Linked DNA regions of Arabidopsis thaliana. The protein of the gene in region 1 interacts with the protein of each later gene in a pairwise test. Each region holds a gene or a part of one and is shown on either strand. Other genes may lie near its edges.

The links. The genes of interacting proteins can lie anywhere in the genome.
Region 2: the proteins of AT1G03040 (region 1) and RHD6 interact in binary tests that used the Arabidopsis thaliana proteins (3 or more experiments, as listed by UniProt).

Annotation. Positions count from the first base shown.
Region 1 is NC_003070.9:701,683-709,059, forward strand, and holds AT1G03040 (basic helix-loop-helix (bHLH) DNA-binding superfamily protein), read right to left. Parts: upstream 4,983-7,377; 5' UTR 4,776-4,982; coding exon 4,419-4,775; intron 3,975-4,418; coding exon 3,852-3,974; intron 3,686-3,851; coding exon 3,620-3,685; intron 3,448-3,619; coding exon 3,382-3,447; intron 2,987-3,381; coding exon 2,597-2,986; 3' UTR 2,167-2,596; downstream 1-2,166. Other genes in the region: AT1G03030 (P-loop containing nucleoside triphosphate hydrolases superfamily protein), read left to right, coding at 93-193, 294-337, 424-501, 594-786, 885-915, 997-1,055, 1,146-1,219, 1,330-1,416 and 3 more; AT1G03050 (ENTH/ANTH/VHS superfamily protein), read left to right, coding at 6,044-6,507, 6,622-6,827, 6,919-7,377.
Region 2 is NC_003070.9:24,792,085-24,798,326, forward strand, and holds RHD6 (ROOT HAIR DEFECTIVE6), read left to right. Parts: upstream 1-3,129; 5' UTR 3,130-3,241; coding exon 3,242-3,769; intron 3,770-3,870; coding exon 3,871-3,975; intron 3,976-4,060; coding exon 4,061-4,126; intron 4,127-4,206; coding exon 4,207-4,272; intron 4,273-4,382; coding exon 4,383-4,514; 3' UTR 4,515-4,931; downstream 4,932-6,242. UniProt on the Arabidopsis thaliana protein: Transcription factor that is specifically required for the development of root hairs. Acts with RSL1 to positively regulate root hair development. Acts downstream of genes that regulate epidermal pattern formation, such as GL2.

The sequences.
Region 1 (7,377 bases):
TTTCACAATTCTCTGTTTTTCCTTATCGGATTATGATTAAGAGCTTGCTACAGATATTAATTAATCTCCCCTTTTCGCGATTCATATTGCAGAATTGTCTCGTTTCAGGGGATTCAAAGTTCACTTATGGGACCAATCTCTTGTTCCTCTTCATTTCAGCATTCGAAAACGAAAGAACACCCCTCGTTATTTGGTGGGTTTTCGAAATCAAACAATTTTAAATTCATATTGACTCTCTCTTCTGTTTGCTTAATCTCTTCTGTGTTCAACTTGAAATTAATCGACTCTTGCAGATTTCTTGCAGTCAGAAGAAAGATGTCACTGTTGTTGATGGAAGGTAAAATCTCATATGTGGTTTTGTTCACTTCTCTTCTCATTGCTTCTACCAAAGTATTGATGCATTCTTTTTTTGCTTCTTGGAAGTTGTATGGATGAGATCTATGATAAGTTGGCGGAACGTCTTGTCCCTACAGCAGCGGCAATGTTTAGCCCCAATCTTAAGTAAGTTTGCTACTCTTTAAATGTTGTTCTGTTCTGTTAGCTGCACCCGAGTTTTTAGATAACTCCTATGAATTGTGTGTTGACTCGTGTAGACGTTTGGTCGGTTTGGCTGGTCCTCCTGGTGCCGGGAAAAGTACAGTAGCAAATGAAGTTGTGCGTCGTGTAAATAAGCTATGGCCTCAGAAAGCTGCTTCTTTTGATGCTGAGGTTAATCCACCGGATGTTGCTATAGTACTTCCCATGGATGGTTTCCATTTGTATCGTTCGCAACTCGATGCTATGGAGGTTGAGCTCATAATATTTTGCTGAGTTATATTTCTCTTATTATGTCTCTTTCTCTTTGTTGTTTAAGAGGAATTCTGTATTTTGTTTTGTCACTCTAGGATCCCAAAGAAGCCCATGCGAGAAGAGGGGGTGAGATCTGTTATAATTGTCTTATTCAAAGATTTTTTCGAAATGTTCAAACTTGGTTTGACCCTTCTATCCACTAATCAGCTCCGTGGACTTTTGATCCTGCACTACTGCTTAACTGTTTAAAGAAGCTGAAAAACGAGGTAAAGAGGTGGTTACAAAATCTTGTTGACCTTAGGATCTTGAAGTTGGGAGACTTACAATAGACTCTGATTAGTTTTCAAGCTTTCCAGGGCTCAGTTTATGTGCCATCATTTGATCATGGAGTTGGGGATCCAGTTGAAGATGATATCTTTGTTAGCCTCCAGTAAGTAGTCAGTAGCTTCCTAAATCTGTCAAATCCGAATCTAGTGTAATATGAAATGGTTTTGTTTGCCTATTCCGGAGACAGTCAGCTAACTTATGTCCTCTTCTTAGGCATAAAGTGGTAATTGTAGAAGGAAACTACATCTTGTTAGAAGAAGGGTCTTGGAAAGACATCTCAGATATGTTTGATGAGAAATGGTAAAGACTAATCAAAAGTGTTTTTTCCTTTTCTCACTCACTCGTGGTATTTGAGTTCGGTTTTACCAATTGATGTCTTTCCATCTTCAATTCAAGGTTCATCGATGTGAATCTCGATACAGCAATGCAACGTGTTGAAAACCGGCATATCTCAACTGGTGTGTACAATTTCTCTTATTTCGATTCTTGAGAACCCGCAATGACCTCAGAGAATCTCGCTTTTGTTTAATCCGTTTTCCCTTTGTGAATTACAGGTAAACCCCCAGATGTTGCTAAATGGCGGGTAAAAGCTCTGGCTCTACTCTACTTAATATTCAGTTACATGGTTTCAATGGTTTGTTCAAGGTAGCTAGCTGCTTCTTTTTTTCAAATTTGGATGGCAGGTGGATTATAATGACCGACCCAACGCAGAGCTGATAATAAAGTCAAAGACAAACGCTGATCTACTGATCAGATCTATGAACATTTGAATCTACTTTCAAGGGGGCTATTGGACGAAACAGAATAAGATGAATAACAAAAGACAATGTTGCGCTTCAAGGGAAGATTGCCTTTGGTCTACAATGTCTTTTTCTTGCAACGGAAACTTCCAATAAGCAATTTGTTCGCAGTAAACTGTGTATGCTAGTGTTCTCTGCATACTCACGGATTTTGTTCAGACAATGTGTTTTATACTTCTAAATTAGAAGTTCTAATGCATAAAGTGTTTGAATGCGCGGGAAATTACCTAATTATAATCAGTCCAGCTCCCAACTATATCATTTTGAATAGTTAAATGGTCTATCCAAATTAGTGCAAGAAAAAAAAGAGAGGCAAAACCATAATATAATACCAACATTTGTTTTTTCTTCCTTTTTTACATAATTCAGAAACACGATCCCACACCTTCATTACTATTACTACAGCTAGCACTACCCTCAAAGCCCTTGGTCCTGAAAATCACACTAAAGTCTTTGAACAAAAAAGAGTTACTTTCATCAAAATGATAAATACTAGCCAAGCAAGCGAGAGCTTTTTCCTTCTTTTGACAGATCCCGTTTTACTTCTTTACTGCACAAATCCTACTTAGATTCCATCTCCAATGCCTTTTTACTTACCTTTCATGAGTCACAAAAGTCTAGTAGTGGGAAACAGAGCAAAATGTCAATCATCAGCTGGGGACCGTTGGATGAACAAAAATCTACGGTGGAGGATTCATCTCTGGTTTGACGATTGAAGAAGATGTGTCTGGTGGCTGAGAATGGTAAATCGCCATTGCCAATGAGATCGGCATTATGCAAAGAGCCTTTGATTGCAAAAGTTGCATCGCTGCTCCAACGTTTTCTTCCATCAGCTTAGCCACTTGCCTCTCTGTCCCATCGTTTGACCATTTCTCCCACACGGCCTGCGTCTCATCCTGAAGAAAGTTTTTACACCACAAGTCAGTGCAAGAAAAACCATTACCAAAGTTCTGTTCTTTTTTTAATGAAGTATCTCTCTCTAGTCTAACCTCAACTGATGAAGATAATGGCATTTCAGTGACTAGTGGTGCGACAGCACCGGCTCCACCAAGACGGCTCATGCTCAGGACCTGCCATAGTTGACCAGAGATAAAGCTTATGAAGGAAAAATATTATCAAAGCCCATCATTGCATAAAATATTCTTCAATGTTCTCATTAGCTTTATTACAATAGTCCTCAATTGTGATGATTCTCCATGGGAGGGAAGCAAGCAAAAAGTGAAAGACACTAATGCCAAAAAACACACAATCATGTACTCTTTGATTACTCTTTATTGCCAGATTAAACAATTATAATCTTTTATTAAGATTGGAAGTTTGGTTTAAGAGAGTAGGTGGTGGTGGGGACCAAGGATTTACACCACTAAATCCTTCTGGCTGTTTTAAATAATCTTTCTACAAACTTTTAATGATAGCATTTTCAAAAACCAGAGAATAGAAAACTGAAAATGACTTGGGTGTTTACCTTAACTTGGAGCCTGAGAAACTTTACATAATCGACAATCTCGTCGATCATAGCAGCCCTATCTGTCTGCAAAAGGAAAGCAAAAGAAACAGATGTGAATACCGCAGTTTCTATATGCCAATCACAAAACTTTTCTCTCATTGACAACTCTAGTTTTCTCCCTACTTTTAAAATCTCTTTCAAGCTCTCTTCGCGACATGAAAACAGTAGCTGAAGCTCTAGAGAAAAAGATACCAACCTTGTTAACGGTAGGTACAAGTTCCTGCAACGACCTGATCCGTTCTGCTATTCTTTCCCTTCGGAGCTGTTGCAAAGCAAATACATTCAGGTTAGGTCTTACCGTTCTTAGTAAGTAAGAACTAATCGAACTTTCTCAACCAAAAGCTATAATTAAAGCTTTGATCAAACATTATCACATAAAAATCGAAAAAAGAGACCAGAAGATAAAAAAAGTGTATCAAACATCTTACCCTCTCAGCGATGCTATGTGGATCGGTAGCTTGACCTCGCCTAGCCCTAACTCTAGGCCGAATAGTAGACTGTTGATGCGGCATTGGTGGAGCTGGCTGTGACATTGGCTGCCCATGGAAAATCTTCAACAAAACACAAAACAATGCCGTAATAACATTAAGAAAAGCTTAAAAACCGCTTCTCACAAGAACGGTCGCCACTAGAGTAGTTATAGCAACAATTCAAACTATGACGGAATTATCCACATGAGAAAAGAAACTAAAGAGCAAATTTTCTTACAATATAATTTGGACATAAAAGAACACTCTTTTATACTAAAGTTTCTTGCAAAACTAATTTTAGTGTTATGACTTTAAAACACATCAAAATCTTCAACTTGGGTTTCTTCAAAAACATCAAATCTCACCAATCTGAGCCAAAAACTCTCGGTAACTATCAAATTTAGACCTAAGCTGGGTTTTCTCAAAAACGACACCATTTTGAAACCCTAAAGATTTGAATTTCACTTTATTTTCTCGAGAACACAAAAGAAAAAGACAAAGTGAAGATTCTGAAGAGAAACTTACAGGTTTCATAGAGGAACATCGATTATCAAGAACATCGTCTTGGAAACGTTTACCAGTTTCATCAGGTTTAAGAAAGCCATGTCCTTTCCCTTGATCGAGACTTAATCCCAACGGAAACATCTGATTATGAAACCCTACAGGTCCACCTCCTCCAATGGCACCCATATGATTATGATTCCCTTCGTTGCCTGAACCAAGCTGAAGCATCATCGGAGGTGGACCCACGCCGCCGATTCCAGAGAGACCAGAACCTGAAGAACCGGAGAAGTTGGAAAGCCCGAGGATCTGCTCGAAGAAATCGTCGGTAGGAGATGGATCGGAGATGCTATCATGTGGGATGTTGTTGTTATTAGCCATGAAGGAAACGAGTAAAGGTTTGAAATTTTCGACTCAGTGGAGCTGGGTGAGTTAAAAGATAGCGAGTTAGAGAAGAGAAGTCGAAGAACAACTTTCCATGCGAAGAATCTTGTGTGGAGTTGTTAGGTGAGAGAATGATGATGCTTAAGCTAATGAGGACGAAGAGACACAGACGAGAAAGGATATGACAAAAAGACTCACTTTATGCTCTCTTTCATTTTATTTTTGTTAAAAGGACCTTACTTTGTGGTTTATTTTCGGTTTTGCCCTTGTTCTTATATACCTTCCAGAAACTTGAAGTGGGCTTTATTTGTTTTGAAGTGGGCTTTTTGTTTTGACTTTCTTCAATTTATTCATATCAAATTAAGAAAAAGGTCTTTTACCAAACTCTTTTTAGTAGAATGTTAAAAACCAATATAACTTTCTTTTTTTAAAATATATAAATGATATGGGAAAAATTCTACGCATTGTCGGGGTCGTCGTCATCTCGTTAGTGGTAGAAAATAAGATTTTTTTAAAAAAATCTGTCTTTGTCGTTTTTTCCGAAATTTAGCACTCATGGAGTAAAGTTTCTAATATCCAATATAAAAATGACACGTTTCATTTTGCCATATGGTATTACAACTTGCTTCTCCTTAGTGCTGAACCGTTGTCCGACTCGTTTTCCATTTTGAGAGACAAGGGTTTTTCTATTTTTCACAAAACAAAATTGTGGCATTTCTGAATATAATACGAGTAAAAAATATGTCAGCAGAAATGGGCTTGGATCGATTTTGATTTGTTGGATTCCATAATTCAATCTTGGGCTTCCAATCCATAAGAAAAAAGCTTGGTGTATTTTTTTTTACAAATTAGAAGAAAGTTTTTTCCTCTTTAATCAGTACTCTTCTCCTTACCCATTAATGGCAAATGCAAACTAAATTTCAGTTGACCCGTCAAACAATAAGTTAATTTTTTGCCACGTGGCCATATTTCTCACCGGACAAAGCCTCCAATAACCTCGGCGACTTTAGATGGTGAATAATCGACGAACAACAAAGAAACTACATTGACGAAACAAACAAACAAAAACATAGAAGAAGAAGAAGAAGAAACAAAACAAAACTAAACAAGAAACAGAGGAGAAAAAAGGAAACGACGAGGAAAAACAAAAACAAAATAAAAACAAGCCTCGTTCTTCCCTTTTCTCTCTTCAAATCTTTTCTTTTACATATTTTCTTTTCTTTTTTTTGTCTTTAATACAAATTTACTAACTAATCAGAATAAAAATGGGTTCGAGTAAGTTTAAACGAGCCATAGGAGCCGTAAAGGACCAAACCAGCGTCGGTCTAGCCAAAGTCAATGGTCGAAGCGCTTCTTTATCTGAACTTGACGTAGCCATCGTCAAAGCCACTCGTCACGAAGAGTTTCCAGCAGAAGAGAAATACATTAGAGAGATTCTTAGCCTAACTTCTTACTCACGCAGTTACATCAACGCTTGCGTTAGCACGCTTTCGAGACGCCTTAATAAAACCAAATGCTGGACCGTTGCCCTCAAAACCTTGATTTTGATCCAAAGGCTCTTAGGAGAAGGAGATCAAGCCTACGAGCAAGAGATCTTCTTCGCCACTCGCCGTGGAACAAGGCTTCTCAATATGTCTGATTTTAGGGATGTTTCGAGGTCTAATTCTTGGGACTACTCTGCGTTTGTCAGGACTTACGCATTGTACCTTGACGAAAGGCTTGATTTCAGGTAAGAGTTCTTGTGCTTGATCCAGGTTCCGATTCGGGATTTCAAGTTATTTATGTAATTTGAATGATATCTAAGATATGCGGTTTTTTTTTTTTTTTCATTGCAATTTTTGAGGATGCAAGCGAGACACGGGAAACGTGGAGTTTACTGCGTTGGAGGAGAAGCTGACGAAGAAGAACAGGATCAAGCTGCGGCAGATCTCTCCACGGCTATCGTGGTCAGGTCACAACCGATCGCCGAGATGAAAACAGAGCAGATTTTCATCAGAATCCAACATTTGCAGCAACTTCTTGACCGTTTCTTGGCTTGTCGCCCAACAGGTAATAACTTGCGTCTCAAGATTTCTTTCTCTGTGTGTGTTTGTTTCTTGGATAAAAATTTATATAAGGACCAATGTTATTTTGTTAACAGGTAATGCGAGGAACAACAGAGTTGTGATTGTGGCTCTGTATCCGATAGTGAAGGAGAGTTTTCAGATATATTACGATGTAACAGAGATAATGGGGATTTTGATTGAACGATTCATGGAGTTAGATATTCCTGATTCGATCAAGGTCTATGACATTTTCTGCCGGGTCTCGAAACAATTCGAAGAGCTCGATCAGTTCTACTCTTGGTGTAAGAACATGGGGATCGCACGGTCTTCTGAGTATCCAGAGATAGAGAAGATCACACAGAAGAAGCTTGATCTCATGGATGAGTTTATAAGAGACAAATCTGCTTTAGAACACACCAAGCAATCAAAATCTGTTAAATCTGAAGCCGATGAAGATGATGATGAAGCGAGAACAGAGGAAGTAAATGAAGAGCAAGAAGATATGAACGCAATAAAGGCCTTACCTGAACCTCCACCAAAAGAAGAAGATGACG
Region 2 (6,242 bases), about 24 Mb from region 1:
GATATCTAAAGAAAAAGAAAGGTAAGAGGGAAAGTGACAACAACAATTCTCTTTCAATTTTGGAAAAGTGTATTTTAAAACTCAAAGAACATGAACTAAAACCGTCAATGTATTGTTGAGCAAGAAAAAGAAAACAGAGGAGGGGGGAAATAATTGTGAATTAATTAATTATTTTTGAATTATTGTTAGGATAACAGTTGGAGGATATAATTATAATTAATTATTTGAAATATTGTTAGAGCGATTAATTCATATTTAATATAAGAAGATTAGTTGGTAAAGTTGTTGTTAAATGCTCAAAGAGGGACAAGACCAAAGCCCATGACCACAAAATAAGTTTATTTTGTGTGAAAGAAATTGGAGATGTTGATGTATGTTTCCATCTGATGGTTCTATATTTCTCTATTTATGTGAGAAGTAAATGATTTTCATAGCTATTATACACCATAGTAATATCTATAGATATTTAGAGGAATCGATAGTGAAAGATATACCAAAAGGCTTATATAAGTAGAGTTAAGATATTTTACTTTTTGAAGTAAAGAATAATTTATCTAAAAATGGATTAGAAAGACCAGCTGCTTTAGTTATCTACACATTGTGTTGACTAGAGTGTCCAAGTATTATATCTCTTTGTTTTTTTCCCGGTAATGTTTCTTAGTATATATGTGTCGTCGTTCACAAACTGGTTAAATTAGCTGTCGGATGTGTTTCTTATAAAGTAATGAGGGATCATTCTCTCTAGATGGTTAACATATATAATCGTATGGCTATTTACTTGGATCATGGTCTTGGTCCATATTTAAAGTTAGTGTGTTTGTAAACAATATTATCTGTTACTAACAATTTCGATGATGGATAATACAATATATAATATTTTTTGTTAGATAATTTCATTAAATGATTTCGATTCTCTAAATTCTAGATTTTTATCTTACTAACTTATATGATTATATTATTTTCACAGTTTCATCAATAATTTATTTCACAATAATGTTGGGCGTGGGCTTTGCTCCCACTTTACTCGCTCGGCCCATCAAAAATGAGTAAATGTTAACTGGTTTGATAAGGTGTGAATGTTTTATTTGAAAGCAAAAAAAATCCTAACTTTTTTTTGTCGAAAAAAATCCTCAAAATGATTTAAAAAAGGAATAAAAAAGAACGTTATTTCAATAAAGACGGATTGTACAAAACATAAATTAGTATCGAACTAGTTTGAATTTTATTTCTACCAAAAAAAAAAAGGTTTTAGCATGTTTTGGTCTCTAAACCCAAAGAATGGGCCGAATGTCCAAAACTTCAACAAAAAAAAAAGATTATATACAAAGATATTAACGAAGATAAAATAAATAAAACAAGTTAGCCTAAAACAACTATATTATGGAGTATATTACTTATAAGTCGACGTGTCGGCTAAAGAAATGAAAGTAAGAAGCAGGTTCTTAGGAAAAATGAATCATCGAAACAAAATAAACAATGAAAATGAATCATCGAAAGAATTGATATATATTAGAATCGATCATATATATGGGAATCAAAAAGACGTGTAGATTAGCGGAAGATACGGCGATGATTTTGCTTCTATGTTTTTCGCTTCTCTTAATTAATAAACTATTTTTGGGGTTATAAAGTCTCAGTCCATTAATTTCACCTTACTGCCAGCTAACAATCCCGATGAATTACTCATAAATATTGTAATACAACAATTACTCATAAATATTGTAATACAACACTTTAATTTACGTTCATTCATTTTTTTTATCACTCCAAAAAGATAATGATGTATTTGATATGCGATCCATATTTTTCCCCGACGTCAAGATTTTTTCTATGCCATTTTTTAAAATGAGTTCTTATTATTTACATTGTTGATCATGTGGTTTTACAGTGCCACATTAGTTGCTAAAATTATATACAATACAAATAACTTATATAATTTTTCCTCACCAGTATTAGTGGTCTATGTTTGGAGTATTTTTTATATAACATATATGGTACCGACTCGATTCAATTGATTAAATACCATAAAAGATAATTCTGTCTATAGACAATCTTTTACAATATTCTTTTTTTAAAAAAAAAAATACCTTAATTTGGGTTCATTTGAGTTTAACAAATTAAAAGTGAAAAAGAACTAATGAAAACTCAGTATTCTTACTACAATTTTCAATAAATATCGAAATTTATAATTAATTAATACTTAATTTACATTTTTCATATTTATATTTATCCATTCAGTTAATTGAAAATTAAAAATAAAATAATAATGTGAATATGTTTTATTGGTTAAATAAAAATGTAGTAGATTTTACGATATATTAAACATACAACTTTTTTTTGGTTAAGAACTATTGTATAGAGTAAGGTTTCAAATAATAACAATGGAACAAATTTTTTGTCCAAAAAAAAAAAAAATGGAACAAATTTAACTGTGAGAAAATAGTGGGATAGAAGCAAATAATGGAACCAGTGCAGTTAGTACGAAATGAAAGAATATGTGGAAGTATCATAAATATGTAAAATTTAAAAGTTAGAATACCAAAATTTTAGCTATCTTTTTAAAGAGGATCTAAAAAGTATCAGAAAACATGTAAGGTTGTGTTTATTAGAACTATTCATCTAGTAGAAAAGTGATTGTCATTATCTTCAAGTATCACATTAAAAAAAAAAAAAAAAATGTTGTGTAGTGTCTGTCGATGAACATCGGAGTAAAATGGATGTCATTATCTTGAAAGAACTAAGAAATATGAGTGTCCATAGGCAGAGTAACAAGTTGTTACTAACAACATTACAAGGAGACAATGACTACAAAAAAACAAAACAAATACAAGCATTTTTAGTAACCATACGTTTTAGGCATGCTAGTCCAATATTCCCAGTTAAGGAAATGTACAAAAAATAACATATGTCTAGCTAGAATTCTATGCATTCATAACTTCGAAGCTTCAAACTGATAAGAGTTTAAAAAATGACGTAAAATATTGAATTTGATCTAATGCCAGCTTCTTTTTCTAATCAGTTTAATCAAACTCAATAAATTAAAAAAAAATCTTAAGAATACGTCACTAGCTTAAATAAAATATTAGACATAAACCACTTATATAAACCTTTATCATAACATAACTACACAAACACATTGTCTCTCTTTGCTTACCAATAGACAACCTTAAAGCCACTTTTCGTCAACAAGACACACAAAAACCCTAAACAAAAAATCACTTATCAAACTTATTAGTGTCTAATGGCACTCGTTAATGACCATCCCAACGAGACCAATTACTTGTCAAAACAAAATTCCTCCTCTTCCGAAGATCTCTCCTCGCCGGGACTGGATCAGCCAGATGCAGCTTATGCCGGTGGAGGAGGAGGAGGAGGCTCGGCTTCGAGCAGTAGCACGATGAATTCAGATCATCAACAACATCAGGGGTTTGTATTTTACCCATCCGGTGAAGATCATCACAACTCTTTGATGGATTTCAACGGATCATCATTTCTTAACTTTGATCATCACGAGAGCTTTCCTCCTCCAGCCATAAGCTGTGGTGGTAGTAGCGGTGGGGGCGGCTTCTCCTTCTTGGAGGGCAACAACATGAGCTACGGCTTCACAAACTGGAATCATCAACATCATATGGATATTATTAGCCCTAGATCCACCGAAACTCCCCAAGGCCAGAAAGACTGGTTATATTCTGATTCAACTGTTGTAACCACTGGTTCTAGAAACGAGTCTCTTTCGCCTAAATCCGCTGGAAACAAACGTTCTCACACGGTAATTACAAACAACAAAGTCTTGGTGAATATTTTTCATATAAGATGTCAATGAAAGATCGTTGATATATACTACTATCAATTTGAATTATGGATATATAGGGAGAGAGCACTCAACCGTCGAAGAAACTGAGTAGCGGTGTGACCGGAAAGACCAAGCCTAAGCCAACAACTTCACCTAAAGATCCACAAAGCCTAGCAGCCAAGGTTTGCTTTCTTGACATTAATTTACATTCATTAAAATAAAACTCAATCTCTCAACACATATTTACATATGTTTTATTTTGTTCAGAATCGAAGAGAAAGGATAAGTGAACGTCTCAAGATATTGCAAGAACTTGTTCCCAATGGCACCAAGGTACACATCCATATAACCATTTATGACAGATTTATTATATTACTTATTCTCATGATAATAATATTTGTTATGTTTCACAGGTTGATTTGGTGACAATGCTTGAAAAGGCTATTAGTTATGTCAAGTTCCTTCAAGTACAAGTTAAGGTATATTAGTTATGACAAACATCCCTCAAATTAATTTTCAGGATTGATTTAATTACCATATTTATCGAATTATTACGTAACACGTATTGATATAATCTATTGTTTGTTAGGTATTAGCGACCGATGAGTTTTGGCCGGCTCAAGGAGGAAAAGCTCCTGACATTTCTCAAGTTAAAGACGCCATTGATGCCATTCTCTCCTCATCACAACGAGACAGGAATTCGAATCTGATCACCAATTAATGAAGGGTTTTATCATTAATAAATCAGTTTATCAAACATTAATTACGTACGTTGTAATAATATCGGGGGAAACAATGATTCTCTCGATTATAAATCCCACGTAAATTTTGAAATATGATCCAAAGAGAAGACAATCGAGATTATGTAACGTTAGATTATGTGAAAATCGAGAAGTTCTTAATGCATCTATAACGAAGAGAAGACAAGAGACATTGAATTCACCGATGATCAGTCTGATATGGGTCCACACGGGGATGGAATCTTTAACTAGTAAATAAGTGTTAAAAACATAAATATGTTTTTCAATTTCTTTTTCTGTTTTAATTGTATTTTGTGTGTTTTAGTCTACGGAATACAGATCTTTTATTTAAACTCCAAGAAATGAGTAATAAAATTCTTCACTTTTGTTTTTTCCTTGAGGTTTCAGTTTCAGAGAATCTATCTTTTTGTCATCTTTCTTTGTCTATTTGAGCTTGGCTTTATTAAAGCTAGCTCTTGAGCGACATGCTTATTTATTTAAAATTCGTCAAAAGTTTGTCACACATATTATAGGGTCTCTATATAGATTGCAATGCATAGTATTTTTTGAAAAAAAAGATAAACTATGAATTTCTATTACCAAAATAGACCATTTTTTTATTTATAATTGCTCTAGGACGACGAGTTCTTCTGTGCAAAACATTTTCACATTCTCTGTATGAATGATCAAAACATAATGTTAACCTAGTTTGCTTGGCTAAAACATTTTATGATATAATTTTGGTACACTAAAATATGTATTTTCGAAAATATAAACATTTTTATATGTAGGTAAATAAGTATTCAACCAAAAGTTGAGAAATCTTAAAATCAGTGATGAATAGCATATATTTTTTTTATCAATTAATTGTAGGATAACCATACACTGATACACATCAGCACCTTTATCGTATAAAATTATTTCTCAAATTAAGTATGAGATTATATTAATTGATTGGACGACATACCTAAGATCTCGATTTATCAGCCCATGTCAGCATGTGTCCTTTGGGAAAGATTAGGGATACGTGTTCTTATTAATTTATACATTGTTTTCATTTGAATTGATATTCAAATGTATGTCCAAAATTATTAAATTAATTAACTACATGATTAGCCACATGGATAATCCCACTTTAGGCGCTGTACTTGTATTTATGTACTTACGAGCTCCATCAAGTCAATAAGACAAACGAAGTTATTAAGAAGTCCAATAATCTATTTATTTTATAATCCATTACATGATTCCATATTTATCTTACTAGACTGGCATTATGTAAACAAATGAATGAATTGAAACGAAATATCAAAATTTCAATTCGATTTGTTTTCAGAAGTTTTGTAAAATATTAGTCTTATTGTATTATATTACACTTGAGTTTATTTATAGAAACAGAAAAAAATCAATTTTATTACCTTTTAAATGTTATTTTCTAAATCATTTACTTAAGTTAGGTTAAAATAAATGTATATGCACATGAAAGGAAAAACAATTGACAATTTGACATTAAAAATATAATTTTGAAAAGAAGTATTAACTTTGCCAAAAAGAAACTAAAAGAAGTATTAACTACATATAACCGTCAATTGTAGTCACTCACTGGTAATTGTAATTCGTTCCAAAACTTTAAGAATCATAAAACAAAGATATAAAACCTAAAATCATTCAAAAAATAATCCAAACCATCCCTAAATTATATTGGATTAGTT